3 linked regions of the Diceros bicornis minor genome follow. The main gene of each other region encodes a partner of the protein of the gene in region 3 in a complex. Links are inferred from orthologs where the notes say so. Each region holds a gene or a part of one and is shown on either strand. Other genes may lie near its edges. The genes, in order: KSR1, KSR2 and MAP2K1.

Region 1 (10,902 bases), on a different chromosome or scaffold from region 3:
CTACTTTATTTCCTTTACCCCTCTCGGCCACCCTGGAGGGGGAGATTGTTATACTCATTTTTACAGATGAGGAAATAGAAGCTCAGTGAGGCGAAAAACTTTTGCAAGGTCATACGGAGTCTAATTGAGTCCAATGAGGCTCACTACCCCGTCAGGGAAACAGGCAGGGAAAGAACCAGAAATGTGTGATGTGTGCAGAGTTCTGGAGGAACATGGAAGCCAGAAAGATTGATTCTGTTGTGGGAGAGGGGGTGGGGGCATATGAGCTAGATCTATGAGATGAGTAGAAATGTATGTGGGGGAGACGGAGAGGAGGGACTGTGAGCAGAAGTGACAGCCTGAGCAAAGGCACGATGACGTGACACTGCCTGGTATGACCCAAGGTTGTTGAGTAAAGGCAGTGAGGACCCACGGTTAAGCGGGCTTCCTAACCTTGTCTACGGCCCTGGGGTTCATGGGTACCCTGAAGGGGGCCCACAAACTTCCTGAAGTTGTATCCCAATTGTGAGCATGTGTGTGTTATTCTTTTCTAGAGAAAGGCTTTCTATTTTCATCAGATTCTTAAACTGGGATAACGACTCAAAAATCCTTGGGTAGTAGATTGGTTTGGAGGGGTGGGCAGAGCCTGGGAATGAAGGGCCTTGTAGGCCTTGTTCAGGAATTCAGACTTCACTCTGAGGTCAACAGGGAACCATGGGGTTTTCTAGCTGGGGGAGCAACATGGGATGGGCCTTAGGAAGCCAACACAGATTGCTGTGACCTCAAATCAAAGGAAAGTCCTTTTATCGACTATAAAGTGATGGACCATTTACTGCTCTATCCCAGAGTCTAGCACAGTGCTAAGCACATACTGGGGGCTCAGTAAATACTTGCTGAATGAATGAAGGAATAAATTAATGAATGAGCACAGGTGTATGTAATAATAATAGAGTTCATTATGACTCCACGAATTTCCTGGGTGATTTAACTGAAGGTGAAATCCAGGAAACCAAAGCTCCCCCTGCACTGCCTTAGGTTCCAACAAAAACCTGCTGAGTCCTGAGATAATGCTGGGGATGGAGGTGGGGATGGGGGGGAGAGTGGATTTGGCACCTGAGGGTGGGGCCACCCCTGACTGCAGGGTAGGGCTCCTCCCGCAGTGCCCTGCCGTAACTTTGGAGGAGTGGATGCTATCTGGCCAGGATGGCCAAAGTCATTTCTTTCCTCCTTCCACATTCAACCCATCGGCTTGTCCTGTTGACTCTGTCTCCAAAACGTGTCCTCCATCCCCTCTATTTCCTCCATCTCCTCCACTCCTGATCCTTGCCTGGGCTACCGCCTCAGTCTCAAAACCAGTGCCCACGCTTCTGCCTCGGCCTCTCTACCATCCAGTCTCCACATGGTGGGCAGAGGGATCTTTCAAAACTTCCCTTACAAGGAATGTGTCTTTCTTTCCACGTACTCAGAGAGCTATGCTTCTAAAACTGTAACATACGTTCAACTCATATGGGGATCTTGCTAAAATCTGGGTCGTGATTCAGTTGATCTGGGGTGGGGTTCGAGACTCTGCATTTCTAACAAGCTCCAAGGTGATGCAGTCATCTTGGACCACATCTAGCGTAACAAAGACTTAGAGAAAAATCCAAACTTCCTGCCCATGTCTTACTTTATCTGGCCACTGCCCAGCAATCTCACACCATGTCCAATCCCTGTTCTCTCTCATCATGCTGTAGCCAGCCACACTGGCCTTCATTCTGTTCCTGGAGTGTGCCAAGTTGTTCCTGCCTCAGCGCCTTTGCACATGGTGTTCCCGTCACCTAGAATGCCCCTTTCTGGAGCTCTATGGGGCTTGCTCTTTACTTTATTTAGATCTTAGTTCAATGATCAATCAGAGAGTACTTCTCTGACTACTTCATCTAAGGAGGCACCTCATCCCCTGGGGACTTGCTATCAGCTATTTGATTTTTTTCCCTTCTCAGTACCTATCATTCTCTGAATTTATTTCGGTGATAATATTTGTTGACTTGTTAGTTTCCTGTCTCCACTCACCTATGTTCCGTATGACCAAGGACTTGGTTTCCTTCATTCTGGGCTATCCCAGAGCCAGGCACATGATAGGAACCCTGTTCATGTCTTTTGAGTCTATACATGAGCATGTTTGCCTGGCTGCTGTGGTGTGGAGATGCACATGGGGGCGTCCAAGCTGGGAAGACTCAGAGTGACACTAACGGAGGTGTCTGAGGCAGAGGGGGAGGAGGGAATGAGCAAACTTTCCATACTAAGGATGCCACAGAAAAAGTCTCAAGAACCTGAGAAGTTGAAACTAAGAATCAACACACGATAGATGAATTCATCTAACCAGAAGAGATTCATGCTGGAAGATGGCGAAGGAAAGTGACTACCATTAGTTAAATGAGTTAAATAAGGCATCAGAGCAGAGCCTGGCACATAATATTTATCAAATAAATAAAAATAAATATGTTGACCCCTTACTTGGTGACTATCACTTTGCATAATGATCTCCATTCATCCTCACAACACATAATCTCCATCTTGCAAATGAGGAGAGGGGCTATCAGATTAGGAGACTTGCTCAAGGTCAGCCAGTGATTCAGAGGTAGACTGAGAACCCCACTCACTAAAACAGCTCTACTGAAAGTTGCAAACGCTGCTCTCCCTGCTTTCTGTTGCGCCATAGCACCTGTCACCACCTAATATACCGAGCAGTTCACTTATTTGTTTATTGTCCGTCTTCTCTCACCAGAATATAAATTCCCGAGGGTAAGGATCTTTGTTTTGTTCACTCCTGTTTCCCAGAGCCCAGAACAGGGTCTGCACATAAGTAGGCATGATGAATAATTATTGAATGCTAAAAGGATGAATGAAGGAACTATTTAAAAATCCTTGCTTTCTGTATCTCTAGGAGGCAGTTCTGTAAATGTGTGACTGACAGCACACCCAAACCCAGTCAAGAAGGCTGGAGTGCATCTGAGATGAACTGGCAAGCAAGGCTGAGGCTTTCTGGATGCTTTCAACAAATCAGAAGGAAGACTGTGTCCACAGAAGAGGGACTGGCCACACGGAGCCCGGTGGGAGAGTAGTCAGGGAGCTGGTTTGTCCAATCTCCAGCCCCGACACCACTGCCGTGGTGGCATGGGTAGGTATGGATGCCACTGGCTGGCAATGGCGCTTCTCAGGATATGGCTTTCCATATAAAGTGGCCCTGGGGAATAACGTGTCGACCAGGCCCCAGTGGCAATTACAAGCTTACCGTAAATGCATAAATAGGCACTTATCAGGAAATCTCTTGTGAATTGAATTAGAGTGAGTCAGTGGCTCAAGCCTGGCAGCTCTGGCTGCTGAGCAAATGGAGGTTCTGAACCAGCCAGGCTGCGCTGTGGACGTTCTGAGACAGAGTTCTCCTGGCCACTGACCTTCCTCTGTACCAAAGCTTCTCAAAGTTCCGCCTCCAGACCAGCTGCATCAGCATCACCAGAGAACTTGTTAGAAATGCAAATTCTCCAGCCCCATCCTTAACCTCCTGAATGGGAAACTCTGTGGGTGGGGTCCACCACTCTGTATTAACAAGCCCTCCAGGACATTCTGATCCAACCTCAAGTCTGAGACACAGTTTCTGTCTCAGGGCAATTATTATTGTGCTGCAGGGTGAGGAGGAGAGTCGGGGCAGGGGGTTAAGGTAACAGTCAGGTTGGGGGACATCATGGAGACAGTGCAGGGAGTCTTTTTATACAGGAAGTGAGGATTGAAGCAGTGACTGTTAGTGGGAAGGGTCAGCAGTTGGGGAGGACGTCCCTGCGTTTCAGAAAATCTCCAGAGGAGGGGTTAGTTTGCAAAAGTACTTTTTAAAGTTATCATAATTTTGTTTTTTAGACCTCATATTTAATTTATTTTGAAATTTCAAACCACAGCAAAGGAAGGTGTTATATAAACTGCCACCCAGTACTGACCGTATGTATAGCTCAGGCAGGAAAACAACGCTTGGACTCCACCTCCTGCCCAATCCTCGTTCTCAAAACAAAGTATACAGTGTGTATATATAGGGGGGTGGGGGGGGTGGAGTGGGGAGGGAGATAACCTACTAAGTGCCTAGGCCTGAGCTGGCCTGAGAGACAGGAGAGAACTCGGCATAGGACCTTGCTACAAGAACTCAAGAAACGGGTTGCACAACATTATGGAGCCCCTACTGTGTGCCACGCACCGTATTTGGCTCTGGGAAGAGGATACAAAGATAAGTTAGCCAGCCACTTCTGCAGCCAAGGAGCTTACAAGAGAAAATTCGGAGGAGAGAGATTTCTTCTGGTCAGCAGATGCTGGAAGTACAGATGTGTGAGAACTTTGACGAGGGTCTTGGCTTCTCCGTTTAACCAGATAATAGAGCCCTTGTGAACTGGGAGGAGGTGAGAGGGGAAGGTGGGAGGATGGGTTGGGGCTTGAATTCTGAGTTAGGAGGCACAGAAAGGTGCAGACAAATAGAGGACTACCAGTCCAGTAGCAGCACTGTGCCCATGCCCACTGCTTGGTCTGGGGCCATGTTTAGGAGATCTGAGGTTAGATAGTGACAATTGCTAACATTCATCCAGTGACTCTACGTGCCAATAGTCAACCTAGGTGCTGGGCGTACATTAACTCATTCTTCATATGAACCCTATGAGATAGGTATTATTATCACTCCTACTGATGGGGAAACTCAGACTCCCCCTTCTGGGAACCCAACAACGCTTTTGGCTGGTTCTGCCAAGTCCTTTACTACTGCACTTCCCAGCTATAATTTGAGAGATGAGGGCCCGCATATCTTACTTCTTCTTTGTACTGGAGGCTGTCTCCACTAGAACCCCTTAAATAGTGTCATCTTCCCACCAAAGGCTTCCTTCCCCAGCAAAATCCTTCCTACGCCAAAATCCAATGTTGGGGGGTGGAGGGGTGGGGTGGGGGGAGTCGGCGGGTAACTACATTTTGAGTAGCGAAACCCCCGTGGCAGTGCGAAAGGAAAGCACCGAATGCCTGACCTGAACAGCAAAAATGCAGTTTCACCAAACACTTTTTGAAAAGCGGCAGAGGGAACCTGAAGGAGGTCACACAGCTAGGCAGCGGTCGAGTCTGAGTTTGAACCCAGGCCATCTGCTTTAGTGGGCTCCCAAGCGCACGACAAATCAATGTGCAGCCTCAAGCGTCTGGGCCGACCTGCTGGGTCGGTGGAGGGATGGGACGCTTATTTTGGTGGGTAAAGAGGGTCCAGAAGAAAGCCCTGATGTCTTTCTCCATGCCTGAGCATTCCCTTTGGGGTAGACAATCGAGACAGTTCACAGCGCTTTGTGAACCAGCTACAGGACAAGTACTTTAGGCCCCTTCCCACTAGATGGCGGCCCCTAAACCCACAAAGAAATTCGGGAGCCTCCACTGTCCCCATCTTCCAGGGTTCGGCTGCGGGTGAGGAAGGGCAAAATGAGCACCCTCCACCGCTCTGGGGAGCCGCGGACGCTGCCCCGCCCCATCCGGAGGTCGCGGGAAACCCCAGGCTGGGGCGGGGGAGAGGGAAATGAGGCTCCTCAGACTCTGGGCGCCCGGGGGAGGAGCCGGCGCGGAGCAGCGACTCCCGGGGGGCAGAGGCGGGGCGATCCTGCACCGCCCGCACCCGCCGTGGAGCGGCAGGCCCGGACTGCGGGGCGCCGGGCGCGGGGCGCGGGCCGGGCAGCAGGTGCGCGGCACGGACTACAAGTCCCAGCATGCCCAGCTGCCCTGACCCGGCCCCCGCGGCCACTTAAAGGCTCCGGGAGCCGCAGCCGTCGGGTCGTCGCGGCTTTCGCTTTGCCGCCGCGGCTGGGCGGCAGCGGCGGGCTCGCGGCCGGCTCTCCTTGCGTCCCGGCTCCGGCAGCGCCGCGGTGCGCTCCTGGTCCAGCCCTCCCGGCTCGGGGCTTCGCTTCCGAGGCGCCCGCGCCCCCGGGCTCCCCGCCTCGGCCACCCCGCGGCCCCGATGCCGAGGCATGGATAGAGCGGCGCTGCGCGCGGCGGCGATGGGGGAGAAGAAGGAGGGCGGCTGCGGGGGGCACGCGGCGGCCGCGGATGGGGGCGCCGGGGCCGCGGCCAGCCGGGCGCTGCAGCAGTGCGGGCAGCTCCAGAAGCTCATCGACATCTCCATCGGCAGCCTGCGCGGGCTGCGCACCAAGTGCGCCGTGTCCAACGACCTCACCCAGCAGGAGATCCGCACCCTGGAGGTAAGGGGGCCGCGGCGCGGGAGAATCGGGGACCCGCGTTGGGCGGGAGAAGGCAGGGGTCGGCGGCCGGGGAAGCGGCCCCCAACACCTCCCTTGCTGCGCCGTTTCACTCATTCCCCAATTGCATCCTTGAGCCCAGGTCGCCCCCTTTGAGGCTTCCTCTCCCTCCTCCACTCGCTGATGCGGCAGCTTGAGGACCCAGGACCAGCCCCTCACCTTGGGCCGGATTTGGGGGGAAGGGCGGAGTGGGAATTGGGATGGAGGCTCGAGGAGCCCGTGGGAGGGGCGGGCTGCGCGCGGACATTCCCTGCCTCCCCACCCGCCCCCACCCCATTCCTGCTTGCGGGGCCGCAGGACTCATTCTCCCACTGAGTCACACGCTGGACGCTTCCCTGTGTGACTGAGCCGAGCAGCCGTGGGCCGGGGTGACGGGCGAGGGGATGTCCCCCTGAAGTGTGAGCGCAGGCCCGCGGTTCTCTGTCTTCCCCTCACGCCCCAGACCCCGTCTCATGCCTTCCTTTCCTCTACTCCAGGTTCTCTTCTGCCGCTTTTCAAAAAGTGTTTGCTGAGACTGCATTTTTGCTGTTCAGGCATTCGGTGCTTTCCTTTCGCACTGCCACGGGCGTTTCACTGCTCAAAATGTAGTTACCCACCGACTCCCCCCACCCCACCCCCCAACATTGGATTTTGGCGTAGGAAGGATTATGTTGGGGAAGGAAGCCTTTGGTGGGAAGATGACACTATTTAAGGGGTTCTGGTGGAGACAGCCTCTAGTACAAAGAAGAAATTAAGATATGCGGGCCCTCATCTCTCAAATTATAGCTGGGAAGTGCAGTAGTAAAGGATTTGGCAGAACCAGCCGAAAGCGTTGTTGGGTTCCCGGAAGGGGGAGTCTCCCCCTCCCCCATACACAATAGAGGGAAACTAGTGCATTCCTAACTTGCTTTTGTCTAGAGACTGGGAAGGCTGTGAAATTCCAGCGACCAGTTAATAGCTACTCTGTCAGAAGAAGGGGCCTCTTTCCACCTTACATTGCCACATCTGGCCTTCTGCAGATCTGGGATGTTTTGTTTTATTAGAACCTTAATTTCTCATTCAAACACCCCCCCCCCCCCCCCCCCCCCCCGTTGCTAATTGCCTGTGGCAGCTGTCATAGGGCCAGCCGGTGGTTTGTGGTAATTATTACAAGATCCAATCCTCTGTGTGCACCACAAGCCTGAATCCCTGTTTGATCCAAAATGCTCACGGGTGACTTCTCCTTCAGTTTTATTTTCTTGAAAGCTACGAACCCAGGGACATTGGAAGCATGCAATCAGTGCTGTCTATTATTTTTGTTACAGTTGCTATAGCAGTACTGACCAGGGCTTTGCTTCAAAAACAAACCAATCAACAAAACCCTCCACAACTGTCCCTTCTGCATGCATGCTGCTGTTTTCCAAGTGGTAAAGGAAACTGGTTTCTCGAACACAGCCAAGTGTATTTGCCCAGCAAAGCTCAGTTTTTAAACCGACACAATAGGGGGCCTGTGTGGCCTAGTTCTGGGAGGAGGGTCGTTGTCCGGCAGCATGTGTCTGGTTGGACTCTTGTGTTGTTGGGATGAGAGAAGGTTCTCCGTTGATCTCTCTCCACTGGTCCCCATGTCGCTCTGAAGTGCTCCCAGTTTCCAGAGTGTATACAGGAGAACTACTTGCTGAATTCCCAAGTCCCTCATTTTGACGAAGGTATGGCATCATGATACCCCAAAGCGTCCAGCTATTTAGGTCTCTGAGCTGCTTTATTCAGTGGTCCCCCCCGAGTGTTTATTTGATGATTGGCTCTGGCAGCTGGAAACCCACCCAAAGGCCAAGGGGATTTATCAGTGTTAACAGGAACCAGTACCTCACCCCCTGTCCTCTCCACTATGACGTGGATTCGAGTCCACCTACTCCCTGAAAAGGCGGGACTTGGGTTGTTTCTAGGGAAGGGAATTTAGGCCTCTGGAGCTAGTTCCCTGGGCCACCACCAGCTAGTTTGGAAGAATCACTTTATCCCGGGGGCCTCAGTCTCCCCACCTGAAGAAGGAGGTTGGAGTGGATCTCTGCGGGCTCGTGCGGCTCTAAATTCTGTGGCTTAGTGAAGGGGTCTCAGTTGGGTTGAATCAGACGTTTGCTATATGTACTCCTGTTTAAGAATGGTTCTAAAATCCAGATTTACCAAATGATAAAATAGGGGGGAAGTGTATAACTCAAAGAATCCTGACGAGAGGGGCAGGGGCAGTGTGGCAGACGGAAAGCCCATGGCTTTGAATTCGGGTCTGGGTTCTGTCTGAGTGACCTTGAGCAAGTCCCATGACTTCTGATTCTTAGGCTTCTCATCTGTAAAATGGGCACGAGACCACTTAAACCTGCAATGTTGTTGTGAATCCGTGAGTCTGCACTCTTACTCCTAAGAGATTTTGCGTATAAACTATCCCTAGTGAGGGTGTAATGACATTCCCACCACAGACCACCGTTAGGGGAGGTACTTCTATAGCTGGCTCTTATTTACTAGAGGCGGGTGACACAGGCCAGGAAACTGTCCCAGCAGCATGTGGTGAGCTCAGGCGGGGCAGGGCGATGTCCACTCTGGCTTTCTTTCCTGTTCTGCAGGCTCTTCTCACATACCAGGCCAGGGCCCCCAGAGACAGTGCTTGCAACACTGGATTCCTGGCCTTTGAAGAAGGGTCCAACCAGAGGGCCTGGCTTACGCAACAGTGCCAGACTTCTCCCAGGATGTTAGGAAGCTCAGTCCACTCTGGCCCTTATTAAATAAGCAGTCAGTGCAAGAAGCAACACGTGACATGCCTCTGGAAGTCCCTGACTGGGCCCAGCTGCTGGTGCCTGAGATTCCAGGTTGTGATGGGGTGTGGGGTCCTCATGTCTGGCTGCCCTGTGATGGCTTTTCTGTGTGTAGTGGTCCAGTTTGTATCCAAAAGAGTGAAAGGAGCCAAGATTTAGTGTCTGCCTCCTACCTGCCAGCCAGTGTGCTGGACCCTTCTCAGTCTCCTAAGATTTCCTGGAAATCCACCAATCTTCGTCACACTTCCATTTTTTCTCTCTGTGTGGGAAGGGAGGAAGACGAAATCTGAACCCAGAGTCTGAATCTGTAAAGAGAAGTTGTGAGGCTACTTCATCCTGGCAGAACCTGCTGTCCTGTCTCCATCAGACCCTCCTAGGGGTCTGAGAACTCCACTGAGGCAAGATAGAATGTTCTCATCCCCCCGATGTGCTCCCTTGGGACACCTGGCTAGAGCCTCACACCAGTTCATTCCCTCATTTATTCATCCTCAGTGAGCCGAGTCTGTGCTGGGCACTGGGGAGACAGTGGTGCCTCGTGAAGATTCACGTTTTGTGAACATTGTAGCTTTGCCCTTTCCCGCCAGCCTTTTAGTGCTTTCCAGAGACAAGCGTGGCCACACCGTCTCCCCACCTTGTGCTCTTTCAGAGAAAAGTCCCTGCTAAGCAAGCTGACCTGGAGAAAGGGGTCCCCGAAGGACCTTGCCAGGCCTTGCTGGGGAGGGGACATTGGGAAGCTGTGTAGGTACAGCCACTTCACTGAGAAGTTGCCCTGGAGCCAGGAGGTGCCTGGGGGAGGCCCTGCTGCTACTCAGAAAATGAGGGAGGCTTGCCCTTCTCCCACCTTGGCTGGGGCAGAGGTCCCTGCTGTGTGCAGGACCTGAGCTCTCCCCGTCGTCGCCCGTGCCACCCTCCCTCCCCCACCCACCCCCATGCTGGGAAAGGAGAAGGGTGCCATACATCCTCACAGATCAGGTCCTTGGAGAGTGCATGGACATGTATTCAGTCAACAAACCTTCAGTCATTACTAGTTTGCCTGCTGAGCTCCTAGCTGTAGCCACCCAGGCAAAGATTCCAAGGAAGGTAGGATGCTCTCTGGTCTTTGGGGACACTTTCAGTCTAATGGGGAATCAGGCGAGTGAACAGTAGTGACCCCAGGTACCATGGCTTGCTGAGAGTGCTTAGGAATTGGGAATATGACTGAATGGCTGGCGAGTCCAACCTCCTAGTTTTTTGGGAAATATTCCCAGAGTACTGGTGGTGGCCTGTCCCAGGTCACATGTCCCTGGCAGAACTGAGAGCGAAACCTGGTTTCCCTTTCCTCACCCAGCCACTGCCTTGGAGTGTGGCATTTCTCTGCTTCTGCTCTACCACCAGAGTTTTAACTTCCTCCTGGAGGTTCTTCCCTGCCATCCCTGAAAGGATGTGGAGATGGGGCACTGTCCCCTTGGCTGTCCGCTTCTACCTTGGCAGCTTTTTCCATGGTGAAACTTGCCACCAGCCTTCCTTGCAGGCGGCCTGGAGAGGGACCTGCGGTTTCCCGAGGCTGATGCTGGAGGAAAGCCCTACACATCTGCAGCCCAGGTTAGTGTGAGGGCCAGGAGGCCGCTGGTCTGCTGCCTGGGGACGATGATGGAATGCCTCCTTCCTCTCCAGGTTGGCTCAAAATCCGGGAAAGCCACATTCCCCCTCGTAAGTATTCTGGACTTGCCTGCAGGCTGTGGTCTGGAGAGGGACCGCAAAGGGCCAGGTCCTTGGCAGCAGTGTCTGCAATGGTGGGGAGTGGCAGAGCCTGCGGGCAAGTCTCACTAAGCTATGCTTTTTAACAAGGACACCCTTTTGGAATAGGCTGATTGGAATCTTTCTCTACATTCAGT
Region 2 (10,354 bases), on a different chromosome or scaffold from region 3:
TAGCACCTGCAGGCACTCTGCTGGAGATAGCGCTAGACTCTTGAAAACGTCATCTCTTCTAATCTTCACCACCGTTGAGGTAGGTAACATTATTCTATCATTGCCATTTTGCCAAAAATTAAACCATGGGTCAGAAAATTTAAGTCACTAGCCCAAGATGAAGTAAGCAGAAAAGCTAGAATTCAAAACTACATCGGTGTAACTCCAAAGCTCATGATTGTTCTTCTCTGCCAACATATTTCCTGATAACATACTGTGGCCAACATGCGGGTGTCCACCCAATATCCCTTCATGCCTTCTTCCAGGCCAGCAGAACCCTGATTGCGTATGGAGTGGCAACAGGTCAACCCAGGCGATGGATCATGACCCACGTAAACCAATCACGATGGTGTTCCCACTTCGCCACCTCCCAGCCTTGCAGCTTGGATGAGCCATCTGACCCAGTTCCGGCCAAGAAGACATAACTAAACATCATCTGTGGGGTAGGGAGAAGGAGGAGAAGCCAAACAAAGATAGGAACCCTTTATTCCTTCACACTCACCTGGGCCCCTCCTTCCTGCCCTGAACCTGGGTGTAATGGTGAAAGGTTCAGGAGCCATCTTGCAACCACAAGGAAGAGGCCATCAGAATTCGCAAAGACATCAGCCCTGATATTATTAACTTACTGAGCCAACTCAGCAGCTAAATACCTCCAGACCTCTTGCTACATGAGAAAAAGAAACCACTATTTGCTTAACCACTGTGGATGGATTTACCATTTCACGCAGCTGAACACATTCCTAATGGCCCCACACTGTTTGGACTGTGCTGTCTCCCATGTTATTCACTGTTTGGACTTTCTCATTATTTCACACATATATATTATTAGCTTTGTCTCCCTAACCACGAAGTATGTTTCTTGAAGGCTAAGTCCATGATGTATATTCTTGTTTCTACAGGCATATATGCATGATACTAAATTTTGCTTACTATCAAGGTTTTTAGGGATGGTCTGTTCAATTTACTACTTTCTTTAGCATTTGTGAGCAGAGAGTCGTCACCATCAAATAGCTGAACCATGCCATCCATCTCCTAATAGATTAGTATTTCTCAAAGTGTCAATATGAAAACACGCATCAGAAACACCTTGACTGTTTATTAAACGCAGATTCCTGGGCCCCCATCCAATCCCAACTGAATTAGAACCTCTGGCGTTAGAGGCCGAGAATGTGCATTTTTAATAAGCTCTCCTGGCTGGTTTTGATATGCAAAATTTGACAACCTCTGGGATAAAAAATCCTGTGGATCCAAAGCCTACGTGAGGTTTGGCTGGACCCCAAGTCACCAGCCCCTCCTCGGTGGCCCCACCCTACCCCTACAGACCTGGGAAGCCTAAATTTGCATGACTGCTCGAGGCTCTCCCTGGGCAATATGGATAAAGTGCTTGGCATGCTCTGTGGCATATTAGGACTAGGAAACAAACAAACAGATGCATTCTCAATAGCGTCAACCTCCCACCCTACCAATGCCTCCAACCTCCAGTTTAAAAAGAAAACCACTAGGCAGAAAAGAAGCCACAGAATCCAGAGCCCACTGTGACAACCACCATTCTCCAAGGTGTTATCAGAGGATGGAGCACGTTGAAGAGGCAAAGAAAACTTGAGAAACTTACACAGCCGTACGCAAACTAGCATTTGGGACTCCTGACTCAGAGGACCAGAAGAGACCCCATGTGGCTCTTTGGGGTTACTTATTTACTTACTGCACGCAGTTCTGAACAGAATTTTATCTTGGTCACTGCTCAGACAGGAGGCTGGCCCAGGGCATCCCACATTTTTCTTCCAGCAGCAGAGTCCTAGACTAGACTGCTCTCCCCAACCTCTGAGAAAGAAAAGACCTGTGCCTCCCAACAGAATTCCCACTCCTCTAACACCCTTTGACATTCATCTTATTTCATTTCTGAGAATCATTCTCCCAGATGACAGGTGCACCTAGACACACATTCGAGGGTAGCAAACAGCATATTCAACACTCACACACACACACACAAACTCCACTTTCAAACTGATGACCTTCCTGCGGGCTGACATCTAGCCAAATTTAAAACCATAGAGGAAAAAGAAAGACAGTGAATCAGAGAGAGGTGCTCATCCAGGCTAGAACAGGGGCACCAGGGTTAAAAGATGCTGTAAGGATTGAAGAGTTCAGGCCTTGGAAATAGAAGGAACCTGCCAGCATTGCACATGCCCACTCCACCACAGGCAGAACCTCTGTTCTTTGCTCCCAGCCCCATTGCCACCACTCTCAGCAAATGCCAGCTAATGGGAGTTCCCAAATTTAATCAAGCCATGTGTACGGCTGGGCCGGTTTGAGAGAGAAAAGTGAGTGGAACCCTTCAGATGTTGCAAGCATCGTGGATGCCCAATGATAACATGGACACAGGCATTTTCTAAGGCTCTTGAAACCTTCCGCCTTTGACCAAATAGCTTTTGGAAGAAATAATTTCTGCCATCTTCTTTCTGAGTAACTTTGCATCCATCCCACCCCCACAAAACTGCTTCAAACTCCCCCTGAAGTTCTGTTGGAGAGAATGTTACAACAAACCAACGATAACTCCTCCTCCCACCCCTTTCCTCCCGGTCCCACCGAGATTCAAGAGTATTTTCCCACACCACTTGTGTGTGCTGTTCCAGGAATTATTTTTTTTTTAAGCTTTTTACGCGTTTTAGGCCTGCAACATCTCCCTGCATCCAAATGATTTGATTGGAAATGAGTAGCTCAATGGGGATTTTTTTTTCATGCATCTTGCCTCCTGACATACATACATCACTGGAAAAACCACAAAATCCAAGGAGCAAAAGGGGCGCTGGGAAGCAGGCCGAGAGAAGAAGAGGTCTGTATTTATAGGCAGCCCCATTCTGCGAGCAAAACCACCTTTTGACCACCTGCAGAATGCGCAAGGTCACGTGGTTTTCTGTGGGTTCTCTGCAGCGCCTTAATGTCTTACCCGGCACACGAGCCCCCATGGCATATAAACAAATCCACGAGCGGAAAAAAGAGAGAACTCACTCCTTAGAGAAGAAGCAAATGATAATAACAGCCGCAAGAATAATAATAAAGAATAACAATTACTACTACTACTACCACCACCCAGCCAAGCGTAGACGACAGCAGTACAGTAAAGGGCCACCCAGTGCAGGCTTTGCAAGATAAATCACAGAAAACCACATCGTGCCCACCTTGCCACCCCCCCCCACCCCCCATACAAACAGAATTAAAGGAAAGGGGACGGCGGGGAGACAGCGGAGGGAAGCAAGGATTGCTTTTTCCCCCGTAGGCAGCACCTACCTCCAGGGTCCGGATTTCTTTTTGTGTGAGGTCGTTGGAGGTAGCACATTTGGTCCTAAGCCCTTCCAGGTTGGAGATGCTCAGGTCTATCATGTTTTGGACCAACTCGCACTGCTGTAAGGCTTTTTGCAAACTCAGAGGCTGCTGCTCCTCGCTTTTCGTCATGTTTTCCTCATCCATCGCTTGCTCTGCAAGCCCCCTTCCCCTCCTCCTCCTCCCAGAGAGAAAAAAGGGGGGGGGGGAGGTAGTCTACCCCCGCCGCCTCTCCAACCACTGCGACTTCTCAACAATGTCTCATGAAGAAGAAACCCAACATCTCACACGGGGTTGAGGGGGTGGGGGTGGGAGGAGGGGACAGGAGCCAAAATTTATTATTTTATTTTGGGGTATCAAGCAGACTCCATTAGAATGTCTCCTCTCTCTGAGTCTCTGGTCCTTGAAAAGGAGAGATGCTGTTTCTCAGAAGCAAACCAGGTGATGTGATGCTGTCTGTACACTTAGGGAGGAGGAGGAGGAAAAAGAGGAGGAGTGGGGGGAGGGAGAAGGGGAGGAGGAAGAGGAGGGGGAGAAGGAAAACAGCGCTCACTCTTTACACACCGGCTCCGTGAAGGACAAAATTATATATTTTTGGCTGGCTTGCTTTTATGTCAAAAAAATTCTGCTTTGCCCCCCTCCCAGTTGCAGTGACACGGCATTGTCCAGCGTTTGGGGGCTTTAGCGCGTTCTCAAGATGCTGTCTGCATTGCTCCCGCGGCTGCGGCGGCGACTGCGGCTGGCTGCTGTCTCCTCCTCGCGCTGCTGCTGCTGCTGCTGCTGCTGCCGCCGCCGGGCTCCGGGGGTGACGGCTGCTGCACTCGCTCCTGCCTCGCTCCACACCGACATCTTGCCTGTCAATCAAGGGGGGGTGGGGGGAGCGAGGGAGCGCCGGCGAGGGATGGCGAGCGAGCGAGCGAGGGACCTGCAGGGGAGCGGGTTGGTGGAGAGGCGCCGTGCGCGCATCCGCCCCAGCCGGGCCCCGGCCCCGGCGCGCCAGGGACCCGCCGGAGGAGGCGGGGGAGGAGCGCGCAGGCTCGCGCACCTGGCCGGGGAAAGGGCCGGCTCCCGGCGGGGCCAGGGGGAGCGGGGGGCGGGATTTCTCGGGATACGGAGCTCGCGTGGCAAAGTGAAATTACTAGCGGGCGTGCGTGCGAGCGAGCGACGGGCGGGCGGGGGCGTGGGGGAAGCGCGCGCGGCGGCCGAGGCTGCTCCGGGGCGGTGGAGGTGGCGGGGAGGGTGCCAGAGCGCGGAGGCTGGGCGAGGAGGCGGGGAGAGGGATTTGGTGGCGGGATGGGGGTGGGGGCCACTACTACAGCAGCGCTCTCGCGAGACGAGGCCAAGTACTGCTCAGCAGGTGCGCTCTGGCTGGGAGCAGGTGTGCGCCCAACTTTAAAACCCGTAGTGCGTGCGGGAGAAACATCAGCGTGAACCTGGGCACGTCCTCTCTGGCTTTCTGGCTCGATGTGCGTGTCTGTCTTTTCGTTCATTTGTCCTTTCTTGTTACTGGTGGAAAATAAAACATACCTGATGATCTTCCATGAGCTGTGGGAAGCGGCCTCGCAGCATTGGTGCCCTGGCCTGCAGTTACCCTGCCGGTGGCTGTCCATTTGGAGGGGGAAAGGGGCTTTGCCTTAATCTGACTGTTATTGTGTCCGACATGCCCTGAAAGATCTGATCCCAGCCTACCTAACCGACCTTATATTAGCAAACTATGGCCTCAGGGCTAAAAATGCTTTTTACATTTTAAAATGATTGGAAAAAAATCAAAAGAAGAGTATTTTCTGACACGTGAAAATTATAAAGAATTCACATTTCAGTGTCCATAAATAAGTTTTATTGGAACACTGCCACCCTTTCATTTATTGTCTGTGGTTACTTTGCATTATAACACCAGAATTGAGTAGTTGCAACAGACACTGTATGACTTGCAATGCCTAAAATATTCACTAATCTGGCCCATTACAGATAAGTTTGCCAACCCCTGATTAAATCACCAAACATATCCTTGCCTTGGAGTTCTTTGCACTCTATATCCACTCTGCCTGGACCACATTTCCCCCTAGCTCTCCTGGTTGGCTCCTTGTCACTCAGGGTCAACTCAAATGTCATCTCAGAGAGGCTTCATCTCTGACCACCTCAATTAATGGTACTCTCAACACACATTGCCCAAAGGATGTATTGAGGATTGTTAGCAAGAGACATCTCTTTCTCCTGGTGACCAGAGCTCCATGCCAGGGAACTGGGCTTACAGGGCAGAGTAGACTCAGAACACATGGTACAATATGTGCCCCTTAAAAGGAAGCCACTTGAGAGGTATGGAGAATGACAGCCAGTGAAGGCAAACTCTTTTTTTTTTTTTTGTGAGGAAGATCAGCCCTGAGCTAACATCCGTGCTAATCTTTCTCTTTTTGCTGAGGAAGACCGGCTCTGAGCTAACATCTATTGCCAATCCTCCTCTTTTTGTTTTTTTCCCAAAGCCCCAGTAGATAGTTGTATGTCATAGTTGCACATCCTTCTAGTTGCTGTATGTGGGATGTGGCCTCAGCATAGCCAGAGAAGCAGTGCGTCCCTGCGCACCCGGATCCGAACCTGGGCCCCCAGTCGCGGAGTGCGCGCACTCAACCGCTAAGCCACAGGGCCGGCCCCAAAGGCAAACTTTTTTTAAGACTGTGGGCCATGGGTTTTTTTTGCTCATACAGAGCTGAATCAGCATTTTCAAAATCTCTCTGTCATGAGGAGCTCAGGAGAGTTCTCTATGTTCTCACGCTTTTGGACTATGAAGTTTATGGATTTCAATTCTCTGGTAAAATTCTCTTTTCATCTATTTTCTCCATCTTTTGCTTTGTTTTTCTTGAACATATTAATCATGGTTATTTTAAAGCCTTTGTCTAATTCTGATACCTCGGTCACCCGTGGGGTCTGTTTCCATTGACTGTTTTTCTCTGTGTTTTCAGTGATGTGGTCCTGTCTCTTGGCAGGTCTTGTAATTGTTGAATGCCAGGCATTGTGTATGAAAAAATACAGAGTCTCCAGGTGATGTTATCCAGCTCTGGAGAGGGCTCACCCTTTCTTTGCAGGACAGATGGTGTGGGGACTGATCATCTTGATTCTATCAGAGGCTGAGCTGAGTGGAGACTGGGTTACAGGTCTGATAAGACACCATCTAACTTTGACCCCCATTCCTAAGGCTTTGCCTTTCAGGGATTCCAAATGAGAACTTGGGGTGTTCACCAAAGCCCCTCCCCTCTTGTCCTGAGCACTCATCTTTGTCTCCATAACTTGGCAAGACTGCTGAAAACTGCTCTGTTTTTCAGGGGCTTTCTGGTTGGCTTCTTAGCCTCTTGGCCTGCACTGTTTCGGAATTTGCCAAATGCTTTAAGGGGAAGACTGCCATCCATCAAGCTCACTTTTCTGCCCCTCCCTTCTCTCTGGGATATTAGCCTCTCAAGTCCCCGATTGTGTCTCCAACCCTGTGAGAGTGCCAAAAGTTCTGCTGGTTTCTCTGTCCCCCAGCAGCAGCCCCCTTAGCTGGGAAAAGTCTAGATTCCATCTGCCCAAATTTGCAAACGTCCCCAGGGAAACAGTGGCTGCAGACTGTCAGCTCGCCTCAACACGGTTCCCCTCTCTCCAGAATCCTGGCCCCTTCGGTCCTGGTTGCTTCAGCAGCTCTCTGAATGTCATTAAGCACATGATGATGAAATGATGATGATGATTTGATCTGACTTTTCTAGTTGTTTTCAAAGGAAGTGGAAGTTTAAACAGTGAAAATAGCCCAGAGGTCAGAAGTCATCAACTGGCAGAGCTATAAGCACCACACAAATGCGTCTGTTTGACCCCTCCCCTTTTTTCAATTGATTGCTGTAGTGGACATTTGTTATACTTTGCATCCACCTAGCCTCCTTTGAATATCCTTCTATGTTTGGAAAATATCCCACATTATGAGTTCCACCTCTCCATAAGAGAAACTGAAGCACTTTTCCAGCACCTTCCTTGCAACCATGTCTCATGAGATCTAAGCTCTACCATTTGACACATCACATGAGATTTCTGCTGGAAAGTGAGAAACAAAGGGGAGGAATCTATCTGCTAGTGAGCATAGCAGCCAATGCACCTGTTTCCAGGTGTCCTGCCCCTGTGTAAGCTTCATGTCTGTGCTGAGAGGCATGGCGTGGTGTTCATAGGGGCAGCCCCACAGTGTGGTTTCACATTAGTCCTGGCTGCACAGTCCGAGCCTGGCTCTCTTGTCCTCCTGGAAATTCTATAGGCTTTCTAACCACCTGTCTTAGTCTGCCCAGGCTGCCATAACAAAATACCATAGATGAGTGGCTTAAACAACAGAAACTTATTTTCCCACAGTTGTGGAGGCTGGAAGTCTGAGATCAGGGTGCTGGCATGTTTGGGGTCTGGTGAGAGCTCTCTTCCTGGATTGCAGATGGCGCCTTCCCGCTGTATCCTCACATGGCAGACGTGACTCATATGGCTTCCTCTTCTTATGAGGCCACAGCCCTATTTGATTAAGGCCTCACCCTTTTGACTTCATCTAACCTTAATTACCTCCTAAAGACTGTAAAGATATATGGGGGGTTAGGGCTTCAACATATGAATTTGGGGGCACACAATTCAGTCCATAGTACCGCCCTATTAAAGCAATTCTGCTTAAACGACCTGGAGTAGATTGTGTCGTTTGCAACAAAGAACCCTGACTAATATTCTTGCCAATAATTCCAAAATCAGGAAATACTACAAAAAATGGAGATTTCTGGCCTTTCTGGGAAAATGGGAAGATCTGGCCACGTTGGGCAACTATTGGCTAGATATGAGGCACCTGTCCCTTCCAGATGGGACACAGGCTCTCCAGTTCACCACAGTCCCCACCCAGCCCCCTTCATTCATTATTTGTTTCCTGCCTGGCCCCTGTAGGCATTTGTGTTGCTCCTCCTGGTATAGCTTAAGGTGGTTTGCACCTCAGACCAATAAGAACCTCCCCAATTTCAAGCTTGGAGAACAGGAGCTAACTGATGAGAATTGTGTTGTTGTTTTTATTGTTTTATTTCATCCCAGAAACTGCATATGACCTCTGAATGATGCGTGTCTCAGAGTGGCTTTATCCATGGCAGAAATAAATCATTGTCATTGGGCTACTGAGTGAGCTGAACTTGGCAATATCTCATTAGATCCCATAGCTTTTAGTTTCAACTCTAAGAACAGTCTCATATTCAGGTATTAGAAGTCCAGTCTAGTCCAATCAAAACTTCATTCTCATATCCAGTTTAATACCTTCTTCCCCACCCCCTCGAGTTGGACCCACGGATGGCTAATGAATCTGCAGTGGAGACAAGGGCAGGTGTGTCCTTTCCTGCCTCCTCTCCAGCTCACCTGGAGCAGAGAGAGGAGTGGAAAAGGGACCCTGAGCTGAGAACAGGTGAGTACAGGTATAGTACTCTCTCGAGTGTCAGATGTCCCCACATGTCCTGGCAAGCACTCACATGCTGGCTTTTACATGAGACACACTGGGGGATCTTTGGAGACCCCCGTGGGGACTCATTGCACGCGTCAGCTGACCTCTTGCACACCTCTTTTCCATTCATACCCCAGGACACACCCCACATTCTTTTCCCCTTGCCTGGCAGGCTCCCCTCTTGGGTGAGTCTTTTCAGGATGACTCAAGCCTAAGTGCGTACTCCCTGGCCCGTGGGAAACAGGTTGCACCTTTGCCCTGCTGCCGTCTCTCCTCACTGCCATCATGGGCAGCCCCAGGCAGCCTTCAGCCGGTTGGGGGAGATGCCAGCCACCCCCCACTGGTGCTCCCAGTCTCAAAAGCGATTCTTCTTTGAACTCTCCTCTCTTGGCTTGGGGTTGTAAAGGGAGAAGAAAAGCTCCCTACAAAGGCCTGTCAGATAAAATCTTGACCTTGTCTTGTATAGGCTGGAGGTTGATGGTTATTGATACTCAAAGGACCAGTCTGGCCACCTCTTAACAGAAGGAGGAAGTATTGTTACCCACTGCCCTCACCTTTGAAGCTTTAGCTGAAGTTCTGGGTCAACAGGAAAAGTCTCATTCTACATCCTGTTGTATTAGTGATGAGCTGGCCCCAATAGTTTCTAAGTTGCGTTGTGAACAGGGACCCAAGTTGGGAAATGGCAGATTGGGAGGTAAAGGGGTGGCCGATGCCCCTGGAACTGAACAAAACTAACACTGACTTCTCCTTGAAGGGCTCAACATACTGCCCTCCCAGGGCATTTCTTTTTTCTTTTCTCCTTTTTTCTATTGATTCTTCAAGGAGAAGAAAAAAATCTCAGAATGCTAGTCCCCGGGATACACCCAAAAAATCATCGCTGCAAGATGGTTATTATTGTTCTGTTCTAACTCATTGATCCCCAAAACATAAATGGCTTTTTAAAAATACCTTCAGTGAGTGCAGGCAAAATGTCCCTCTCTTTAACCTTGTGAAGTTTTTCCAACATCTGAAAACTGACTTTCTCTAGAGTTCTCCTTTTGGCCTCTTGCCTCTTTGTCTCTTAGTTTTCCAGTGTGAGCAAAGCAACCAGCTCATTCTCTTGATGGCGAGATAATTTGAGCTCACGGTAATGGACAGTCTAGTCCAGTCATTTATGTTGGCTTTACAAATTAAGCACTCAGCGATGCACTGTGAGTTTTCAGATACAGCACCCTCAGGAGGGGAGAGGATGCGTACTGTGGCACTCTCCAAGTACTTGGAGATGTGCCGTGGAGGAGTGGTGTTGAAAATTGCAGTAAAGTGATGCCATCCACCAAACTAGCGTACTTCTTCCGCCATCTTTTCTATGAAGTTCTGCATTAGCCCAAATGGTGTCTTTGCGTGAGTCAGAAAAAGGCAGCTGCTCTGCAAAGGTACACACCTGGGGGGACAGAGTACAGTCTGGATTTCAGACTTGCCCCCCTAATGTGGGCACCTTATGAACAACATTCATGGCATCCCTCCGAGGCAGCCTGGTTGAAGTTCTGGTTCTTT
Region 3 (10,153 bases):
GTGCACGTGCTCCGCTGTGGCGGCCAGGGGTTCGCAGGTTTGGATCCTGGGCACGCACCGACGCACCGCTTGTCAGGCCATGCTGTGGCGGCATCCCATATAAAGTGGAGGAAGATGGGCACAAATGTTAGCCCAGCGCCAATCTTCCTCCGCAAAAAGAGGATGATTGGCATCGGATGTTCGCTCAGGGCTAATCTTCCTCACAAAAAAAAAAGTGTTCTTTAAAAAACAAAGAATGAGATTAAGTATGTGCCTCATCTTGGAAGGAGGCAAGGTACCTAAGAGCCAGCAATCCCACTTCTGAGTACATTCCACAGGGAACTCGCACAAGGGTCCCAAGGGAGCCGTGTACAAGAATGGTCACGGCTGCACTGGGGCAGCAAAGGGTCAGAAACAAGAGTTGTCTAATTCTAAGGGAAGAATAAGTGAAATGTGGTATAAGCACGTGACTGACTGCTCTGCAACCAAGAGAAATAATGAACTAGATACACATATAGCATATGAATAGAGCTCAGAAACATGGTATTTAGTTAAAAAAAAAAAAAGATAAACTGAAATAAGTTTGGAGTGGTCATTGCTTCTGTTCAAAGATTCCTGGTTCTCCTCCTTCCAAGAAGGCCTCCCTCTGAGGGTCAGCATGGCCATGTGATTTGCTTTGGCCAACGAAATGGGGGCAAAAGTGACATGTGTGCCTCCATCAGCCGGGATTTCTGATGGAATCCAATCCACAGAGCCTCCCACTGACCTGCAAGTGTGTTAAACTACTGAGATATAGCGGTTGTTCATTACCTCAACATAACCTAGTCTATCCCAACTGATGCAGATTTATAGCACAATCGCATTTTTAATAAAAACTGAATGTATTTAAGGTGTACAACATAATGACCTGATATACATATACATGATGAAGTGATTACTACAAATTTATTTAGTCAAGCTAATTAAATTAACATCTCCATCTCCTCAAATAGTTACTATTTTTTGTGTGTGTGATGAGAGCACTTGAAATCTATCTTAGCGAAATTCCAGTATTCAGTATAGTATTGTTAACTATCATCATCTTGCTGTACATTAGATCTCTAGACTTATTCATCCTACATAACTGCAGCTCTGTACCTTTGACTAGCATCTCCCCCTTTACCCCACCTCCCCACCCTCTGGTCACCACCTATCTACTCTCTGCTTCTATGTATTCACTTTTTTAGATTCCACATGTAAGTGAGATCATGCAGTACTTTTCTTTCTGTGTCTGGCTTATTTTACTTAGCATAATGTCCTCCAGGTCCATCCATGTTGTTGCAAATGGCAGATCTCCTTCTTTTTTAAGGCTGAATAAGAGCACAATAACATTGAGCACTCTAAGCACAGAAACACACAAAACAATACTATCCACCTCCCAAAGGTACACATATACCCAACAAATGGGTGGAATTATAAGACTGTATATTAAATACCCTAGAGTGGGTGACTGGGTGCCTGTGAAAGAAAAGGAAATGGGGAGAAGGGAATGAGAGTAAAGGGGAAAATTAAAGAAAAATGAAAAGGTATAAAAAGGTTTGTTAAACACATTGTGCAAATATTAGAAATTGCATTCACTCACTGATTCACTCAACAAACATTTGTGCACTTGTGTGCCAGATACTGTATTCTTGGTACTACTTACAGAGCAATGAATCAAAAAAAGGTAGCCCTATGCTTATAGTTCATGGTATACAGAAGAGACAGATATTTAAAATACCCTAGTAAAAAACTATAGACAGTGAATGAGTGTCATTAAAAAATCAGATGACATGAAAAAGAGGGACCTACTTTAGATTAGGTGGTCTGTGAGCATCTCTAAGGAAATGACATTTAAGAGGAGGGAAGATTGCTTCCTTCCTAGCTTGGGAAGAGGAAACGATGATTCATTCCAGGCAAAGGGAACAGCATGTGCAAGAGCCTGGAAGGAGTATGGACCATCCCATGGAGGAAGTGAAAGAGGACCAGTGTGGTGGGAGAAAGGAGCAGCAGGAAATGTGGTGAAAGAGATGGGGGTGGGGGCCACAACAGGCAGATTACTCAGTCTCACAGCCCAATATAAGGAGCTTGGATTTTATTCTAACTGCAATGGAACCATGAAAACATTTTAAGTGGGGGAATGATATGATCTTATTTCCAATTTATTACATTCTAACACTTCGCACCCTTGCAATATGCTCATACATTTTTGCAAAACTTGCAAAAGAAGTATTTTTGCATTCTTGTTCTCCAAGGACCCCAGAACTTGCATAAACTTCAGGTCCCATATAACCCAGCTCCGTCTGAATGGAGTACGTGCTACGGCAGAGGTAAATCCCAAGATGCCAGGGAGCCTCAGAGGAGAAGCAACCTTGCCAATTTAGTACCGAGTTCTTTACTGTCAATGGATTTTTTTTCTTCTTTAGTTTACATTGTATGATAACATTCAGAATTGTGCCATGGTCTAATCACAGAAATCATGAGAACAGCAGCTTTGCTTGAGAAACACAAAGGTGAAAAATGAAGATGTGTATAGCTTGCCCCCCATTAGTGCCAGATAATGTAGGGGAACAGTCCCTGTTTGTCTCAGGCAGCCTACACAAAGATGCCTCCTATTGTAACACAGCAATGAGTCACGGAGGTAGATGCAGATGGCACAGAAAACTAAGCGAGGGAGAGTCGTTTATCCAGAAGCAAAGGCACCTTAACACACAAATCTACCACCACCAACGGAAATTACCTTCCAGTTTCCTTCAGCCTTATCAACATTTACCCAGTACCTAAGATACCAGCAGCTAACATTTATGGAAGGTTTACTATGTACTCACTCATTTAATCTTCACAACTACTGTAAGTAGGTTCTATCATTAGCCCCATTTTCGCAGATGAAAAAACTGAACCTAAGCCTTAGACAGATCAAGAGACTTGTCCCAGATCACAAAACCAAAAGTAACAGAGCCACACTTCAAACTTAGCCTGACTCCAGAGTCCAACCTCTTAACCACTGATTAGAATCTCCCAGTCCCACCCAAATTTTTCTGCCAACTGCAGGGTAGTTTCTTCTCTTCCTCCCAACATTGCTTTCTTTACGGGAAATTTCCCCTCCTTTGCAAGCATACAGCTGTGGCATCACAATTAATAACAGAATGACAACAGGTACTTCTACTCAGTACCTTCCTCCAAATCAAATAGGAGCAGGATGATCAGGCCACAACATTCAGCTAGAATCCACTGTGGTCAAAACTTGTCCTGTCCTGCCCTGCACTGGAAGGCTTTCGGTCTTGTTTAAGGGGATAAAATTCTGTACACTAAAACTGAATGTTTGCAAAGCAATCTACTGACCTGTATAAGTCAATATTATGCAAAATAGACACGACAGTACTGAAAGGGGTTTGTTGGGAGCAGGTCTGAGGAACCTGGTTGAGCTCACACCACAGGTCCACCACCAGCCTTGTGATCATTACAGGCATGGACAGAGTCACCAAGTCAAAGGTCACCGGGCTATTAAAATCTAGAGAGAAAGGAAGGTTACAGAAATCACCAAAGGGGAGAAGGTCCAGACCCACTCTATTCATTTCATCAGCTGGCTTCCTAAAGTCTCCAGTGTGCAGATAAAAGATTAAGAACCAAATCTTTTCTGGTTATTTCTCCAGCTAGCTGGGTCTCTCTCCCTCACACAGTCTTGTCCCTTACCCAGGACACAAAAGAGTTGTGGGAGCTCAGAAACACCCATGAAACAGCCTCATCGTTATCTGATTGTTTAAATAAAGTGCTGGACTGTTAGCAACACTGGAAGCTGCAGAGATGGAGCAACTTGCATGTGGTTTCCACGGCCATGGTGTTCTTGTCTCAGGCCAGGAGTTTTTAGGGCTCACAGCCAACTAAGGAAAGTCAGGGGAGTCATGGGTGAGGAGTGGTTTGCTGAATGAATGAATGAAGAGTCAGATCAAGAAAGGGAAGGCTAGGGCCAGCCTATGGCATAGCGGTTGAGCGCAGGCATTCCGCTGCTGGCAGCAGGCGTTCGGATCCGGGGTGCGCACCCACGGCACCGCTTCTCGGGCCATGCTGAGGCCATGTCGAGGCCATGTCACACATACAGCAACTAGAAGGATACGCAGCTATGACATACAACTATCTACTGGGGCTTTGGTGGAAAAAAAATAAATAAATAAAATTATAAAAAAAAAAGGGGGAAAGCCGCTTCCTCCGAGTCAAGACAGTTTCCAGGAAGAAGGCCAAGGACCGGGAGCCCCCAAAGTCGGCAATGGAAAACCCCGGGGAAGTCGGCCTACACACGCCCCCGCTGGGCGGGCAGCGGCCGCAAGGAGGCACTGCCCGCCCACAGGTGTCGGGCAGCCAGGTGAGGATGCGGCTCGCCAGTCTCAACTCCACACTCCACACCCTGAGCCGGTCTCAAAGACGCAGACGTGATCTTAATTTTTTCCAAGACCTTTGTTCCCTTCTCCCCGGTCAGGCCAGAATCCCAGAGGAGCCGGGAAACAGCTGGGGAGGGGCGGGGGATGAACCAGTTTTTATTTTGAGGGGAGATAGGGAGTGGCCAGGAATGACTGAAAAGGTCGGGAAAGGGGAGGAAAGATCGAGACTCGTCGAGTCCACTGACCGGTCTGAGTCAGGAGCATAATCAGTGCTTAGTCACCGATACCTCGGCGGCCGGGAGTTCCTCGCCCGCCCGCGACCTACGTGACCAACCCGAGCGGAGCCCGCGCGCACACCCGGCCCGGCTCCCGCGCCCGGCGCGGCCTCCCCAGCCCGGCCCCGGAGCTCGCCGCCCACCCAGACTTACTCCGCCGAGCTGGTCCCGTTAACGGCCGAGCCGTCGGGCGCCGGGTTCAGCTGGATGGGCGTCGGCTTCTTCTTGGGCATTTTGGACCCGGGGAAGGCGCTTCCAACTCCGAGGGGAGGGCGGCCCCTCTTGCTTCCTCCCTCTAAGCTGCCCCGCGCCCGCCGCGCGGGCCAAGTCGGGGCCGCGGGCCCGGGGCTGCCTTCGGTGGGCGCGCCCCTCGCGGTCCCGTCGGCGCCGAGTGCCCGGAAGCGGCCGGGATTCCCTCCCTCCCTCAGTCAATCGGTGCCCCGGGCTCGAGCGGCCCCGCCGCGCGGACCAGAGCCCCACTCCAGCTACCGCCCGGGAAAGCGCCGCCGTCGCCGCGCTCCCACCGCTCCGCGCAGCCGTCCCAGGGCGGGACTGGAGGGCGGGGGAGGGGTGAGGGCGGGGGAGGGGCGGGCAAAGGGGAAGCCTCGCCCCCTACCGGGCTGCGGCGTTTTCCACACACCCACTCGGCACCGCCCCCCCCATTGCCTCGCCGACAGCCAATGGGAGCACGCCTCGGCGGCGGATAACGCGGAAGTACGTCACGGGGGCGCGGCGCGCCGTCCTGGGGGCGGGGTCCGGCGCTGGGTCCACAGCGCCCTCTGGTGACCGGAGCCACCCGGTGGACCCACCGGGAAAGGAGGTCGCGCGTGCTGGTTCCCGAAGCTAGCCTCTCCGGCGGAGTCACGTTGACGGAGATGAAATAATAAAATGAATAAGGAAAAGGACCGTTTCTCGTTTCTAGCGGATAGGCAGCGTGGGGGAATAGAAAATTTGTGAAGAGACTCCTTGCGCCTAACAAACTGGCAAATATGTATAAAATGGTAATATACACTGCTACTCTACTAACGAGGGTACAAGGAGATGGGACTCAGTGCTGATGAGACTGTAAATTGGGGCAACCTTTCTTCAGAGCAGATTGGTAATATTTTTTAAAGCCTTAAAAAAAACCTTTCAACCAATTATTCCAGTTCTATAAAACTCGAAGAAGATATGACTAAAGAGTTTAATAAAAGAGGGACGATACCTATTCAAAAATGCACATTCAGTCCTCTTCTCCTTTGCCCTTCCTACAGTATTCAGTCTTAAAGGCATTAGGTGTGCAGAACAAAGGAAGCATGTGCTTCTGGTGGTCCAGAGCAGGGTGTCAGCCACTGTTTGCAATATATAGAGGGAGTTTTGTAGCCTTTGGTGCTGTTTGAATTTTTTATTATATATATGACCTATTCAATTAAAAACAAAAAAAACTTTTAAAAATATTAACATGGGAATGTAAAATAGTGCAGACACTTTAGAAAACAGTCAGGCAGTTCCTCAAACAGTTGAATATAATTACCATATGACCCAGCAATTCCACTCCTAACTATATACTCAAGAGAAATGAAAAACATATATCCATACAAAAACTTGCACACAAATGTTTATGGCAGCATTATTCATAATAGCCGAAAAGGGGAAACAACCCAAATGTCCATAAACTGATGAATCAATAAACAAAATGTGGCATATCCATACAATGGAATATTAGCCATAAAAAGGAATGAAGAGTTGATCTATGCTACAGCATGGAGGAACCTGAAAACATTATGCTAAGTGAAAGAAGCCAGTCAGAAAAGACCATGTGTTGTATGATTTCATTTATATGAAATGTCCAGAATAGACAAATCTATAGAGATAGAAAGTAGCTTAGACATTGCTTAGGGCTTGGTGGGGGCAGGTAAACAAGGGATAGTAGGATGATAGCTAAAGGGTAGGGATTTCTTAATGAGGTGATGAAAATGTCTTAAAATTGACAGTGATGATAATTGCATATCTCTGTGAATTTATTAAAACCATTGAATTTTACACTTTAAATGGATGAATTGTATGATATGTGAATTGTCTTTTCATAAAGCTGTTATTTACCATCCCTGATGGTCTAGCTGTTAAGAGTCCATCCTCTCACCACCTCGGCCTGGATTCGTTTCCAGGTCAGGGAAACCACCACCCATCTCTTAATTGTCATACTGTAGTGCTTGTGTGTTGCTGTGATGCTGAAAGCTATGCCACTAGTATTTCAAATAATAGCAGGATCACCCATGATGGACAGGTTTCAGCAGAGCTTCCAGACTAGACAGATAGGAAAAAGGCCCTGGCCACCCACTTCCAAAAAAATCGGCCATGAAAACTCTATGAATAGCAGCATTGTTGGATATAGTGCCAGGAGTGAGAGGATAATGCAAAATGATGGAGCAGTGTTCTGTTGTGCAGTACGTGGGGTCGCTAGGAGTCAGAATCCACTCAAAGGCGCTAACAGCAAAAAAGCCATTATTAAAACAACAATATCAACAAAGAAATTCAGGGGAAAACTGGAATAGCCAAGATAATCTTGAAGAACAAAGCTGGAGTATTTACACTACCAGATATCAGATCTATCTAAGATTGGGTGTTTAAGACAGTATGTCACTGGCACAAGAATAGACAACTAGACCAATGGAGTAGAATAAAGAGTCTGGAAACAAACCCATATGTATTTGATCACCTGATTTATCACAAAGTTGACAATACAGTACAGTGGGAGAAAGGCTGGTCTTTTATTTTTTTATTTATTTATTTTTGTTTTGTGAGGAAGATCAGCCCTGAGCTAACATCCATGCTAATCCTCCTCTTTTTGCTGAGGAAGACCAGCTCTGAACTAACATCTACTGCCAATCCTCCTCCTTTTTTTTTTCCCCAAAGCCCCAGTAGATAGTTGTACGTCATAGTTGAACATCCTTCTAGTTGCTGTATGTGGGATGTGGCCTCAGCATGGCGGGAGAAGCGATGCATCGGTGCGCGCCCGGGATCCGAACCAGGGCTGCCAGTAGCGGAGCGCGCACACTTAACTGCTAAGCCACAGGGCTGGCTCTGGTCTTTTAAATAAATGGTGCTGGGTCAGTTGACTATCCATATGGAAAAAAATGTCTTGACCCCTACATCACACCATACATAACAAATCAACTCTAGATGGATTATAGAACTAAATAAAACTTTTAGAAGAAAATATTGGAGGGCCGGCCTCGTGGCTTAACGGTTAAGTGCGTGCGCTCCACTGCTTGAGCTTCAAAAAGGGTAAAAAGAGAGAAGAGATTTGCAATGGATATATTGGAAAAAGAACTCGTATCCATAATATATAAAGAACTCCTACACATTAACAAAAAAAAAAGACAGACAATCCAATAGAATTATGGGCAAAAGATTTGACAAGGCACTTAATAAAAGAAGATATCCAAATGGTCAATAATCATGAAAAGATGCTGAACTTCTTTAGTTATCAGGAAAGTGCAAATTAAAACTATAATATGAGGGCCGGCCCTGTGGCTTAGCGGTTATGTGCTCGCGCTCCACTACTGGCAGCCCGGGGTTCAGATCCCCGGTGCGCACTGACGCACTGCTTCTCTGGCCATGCTGAGGCCGAGTCCCACATACAGCCACTAGAAGGATGTGCAACTATGACATACAACTATCTACTGGGGCTTTGGGGAAAAAAAAAAGGAGGAGGATTGGCAATAGATGTTAGCTCAGAGCCGGTCTTCCTCAGCAAAAAGAGGAGGATTAGCATGGATGTTAGCTCAGGGCTGATCTCCCTCACAAAAAAAAAAAAAAAAACTATAATATGAGTACTCAACGCCACTAAATTGTATACTTAAAAATGGTCAAGGGGCCGGCCCGGTGGCGCAAGTGGTTAAGTGCGCGCGCTCCGCTGCGGCGGCCCGGGGTTCGCTGGTTCGGATCCCGGGCGCGCACCGAAGTACTGCTTGGTAAGCCATGCTATGGCGGCGTCCCATATAAAGTGGAGGAAGATGGGCATGGATGTTAGCCCAGGGCCGTCTTCCTCAGCAAAAAAAGAGGAGGATTGGCGGATGTTAGCTCAGGGCTGATCTCCTCACAAAAAAAAAAAAAAAAAATGGTCAAAATGGTAAATTTTATGTATATTTTACCACAATTAAAAAAGACTGCTATGATACTACACCCACTATTCTGGCTAAATTGAAAAGGATACATAACAGAAAATGTTGATAAGATGTGGAGCAACTAGGACAAGACTCTCTTGCACTGATGGTAGGAATATAAATTTGCGCAACCAGTTTGAAAAGATGTTTGGCAGTATCTATTAAGTTTAATTTACATCTGCCCTATGACCCAGAGATTCTACCCCTAGGCACAAACCTACAGAAATCAATATATATGTTCACCATGGGGCCAGCCTGGTGGCATAGCGGTTAAGTTCATACACTCTGCTTCAGCAGCCCAGGGTTTGCAGATTTGGATCCTGGGCACAGACTTATGCACCACCTATCAAGCCATGCTGTGGCAGTGTCCCACATATAAAGTAGAGGAAGATGGGTACAGATGTTAGCCCAGGGCCGATCTTCCTCGGCAAAAAGGGGAGGATTGGCAACATATGTTAGCTCAGGGCTAATCTTCTTCACCAAAAAAAGAAAGAAAGAAAGAAAGTAATACTACTTTATATATAAAGTTCAAAGCTGGTAAACCTCATCTATGGTGGTAGAAATTGGGGTAGTAGTTATCCTTGAGGAGGAATGTAATAGGAAGGTGAGTTGAAGGGGGCTTTTAGGGTACTGGTAGTGTTTGCTTTCTTGATCTGGGTGCAGGTTACACAAGTGTGTTCCGTTTATGATTTTCTGGTTGTATGTTACCCTTCAATAAAACAATTACCAGAGAAAAGAAAAAGAAATTCACTTGACATCACTAATCATCAGGGAAATGCAAATCAAAATCACAATGAGATATCCTCTCACACCTGTTAGAATGGCTGTTATCACAAAAAGACAAGAGATAACAAGTGTTGGCAAGGTGTGGAGAAAAGAGAACCCTTGTATACTGGTGGGAATACTCGGTGGGAATGCAGATTGATACAGCCACTATGGAAAACAGTATGAAGGTTCCTCAAATAAATAGAAATTAAAAATAGAACTACCCATATGATCCAGAAATCTCACTTCTGGGTATATATCCAAAAGAATTGAGGTTAGGATCTCCTAGAGATATCTGCACTCCTATGTTCATTGCATCATTATTTGCAATAGCCAAGATGTAGAAACAACCTAAGTGTCTGTGAATGGATGAATGGATAAAGAAGATGAATGGATAAAGAATAACAATAGAATACTATTTAGCCACAAGAAAGAAGGAAATCCTGCTATTTGCAACAACACGGCAGACCTTGAGGGCATTGTGCTAAGTGAGATAAATCAGAGAAAGACGAATACTGTATGATATTACTTACATGTGGAATCTAAAAAAGCCAAACTCGGGCCGGCCCCGTGGCTTAGTGGTTAACTGCGT

Evidence for each region.
Region 1: the proteins of MAP2K1 (region 3) and KSR1 are in contact, whole or in part, in a crystal structure (PDB 9AXH), measured with the Homo sapiens proteins. The link is inferred for Diceros bicornis minor from reciprocal best matches to the Homo sapiens genes MAP2K1 and KSR1. Residues at the interface, in NP_002746.1 of Homo sapiens: Asp217, Ala220, Asn221, Ser222, Phe223, Val224, Gly225, Thr226, Arg227, Ser228, Met230, Arg234, Leu235, Gln236, Gly237, Met308, Ala309, Ile310, Phe311, Leu314, Asp315, Val318, Asn319; in XP_011523731.1 of Homo sapiens: Asn767, Gln768, Leu769, Lys770, Leu771, Ser772, His773, Leu776, Val784, Arg785, Met787, Thr788, Pro789, Asn823, Gln824, Ala825, Ala826, Glu827, Ala828, Ser829, Ile830, Trp831, Gln832, Gly834, Ser835.
Region 2: the proteins of MAP2K1 (region 3) and KSR2 are in contact, whole or in part, in a crystal structure (PDB 7UMB), measured with the Homo sapiens proteins. The link is inferred for Diceros bicornis minor from reciprocal best matches to the Homo sapiens genes MAP2K1 and KSR2. Residues at the interface, in NP_002746.1 of Homo sapiens: Val81, Glu102, Met219, Ala220, Asn221, Ser222, Phe223, Val224, Gly225, Thr226, Arg227, Ser228, Met230, Arg234, Leu235, Gln236, Gly237, Met308, Ala309, Ile310, Phe311, Glu312, Leu314, Asp315, Val318, Asn319; in NP_775869.4 of Homo sapiens: Lys674, Arg818, Asp820, Lys821, Leu822, Arg823, Ile824, Gln825, Asn826, Ile837, Arg838, Gln839, Leu840, Ser841, Pro842, Gln877, Pro878, Ala879, Glu880, Ala881, Ile883, Trp884, Gln885, Gly887, Thr888, Met890.

The regions. Positions count from the first base shown.
Region 1 is NC_080757.1:20,097,160-20,108,061, reverse strand, and holds the start of KSR1 (kinase suppressor of Ras 1), read left to right. Parts: upstream 1-5,849; 5' UTR 5,850-5,981; coding exon 5,982-6,212; intron 6,213-10,902.
Region 2 is NC_080774.1:14,999,655-15,010,008, forward strand, and holds the start of KSR2 (kinase suppressor of Ras 2), read right to left. Parts: upstream 4,549-10,354; 5' UTR 3,508-4,548; coding exon 3,328-3,507; intron 1-3,327. UniProt on the Homo sapiens protein: Location-regulated scaffold connecting MEK to RAF. Has very low protein kinase activity and can phosphorylate MAP2K1 at several Ser and Thr residues with very low efficiency (in vitro).
Region 3 is NC_080744.1:60,564,808-60,574,960, reverse strand, and holds the start of MAP2K1 (dual specificity mitogen-activated protein kinase kinase 1), read right to left. Parts: upstream 5,172-10,153; 5' UTR 4,882-5,171; coding exon 4,802-4,881; intron 1-4,801. UniProt on the Homo sapiens protein: Dual specificity protein kinase which acts as an essential component of the MAP kinase signal transduction pathway.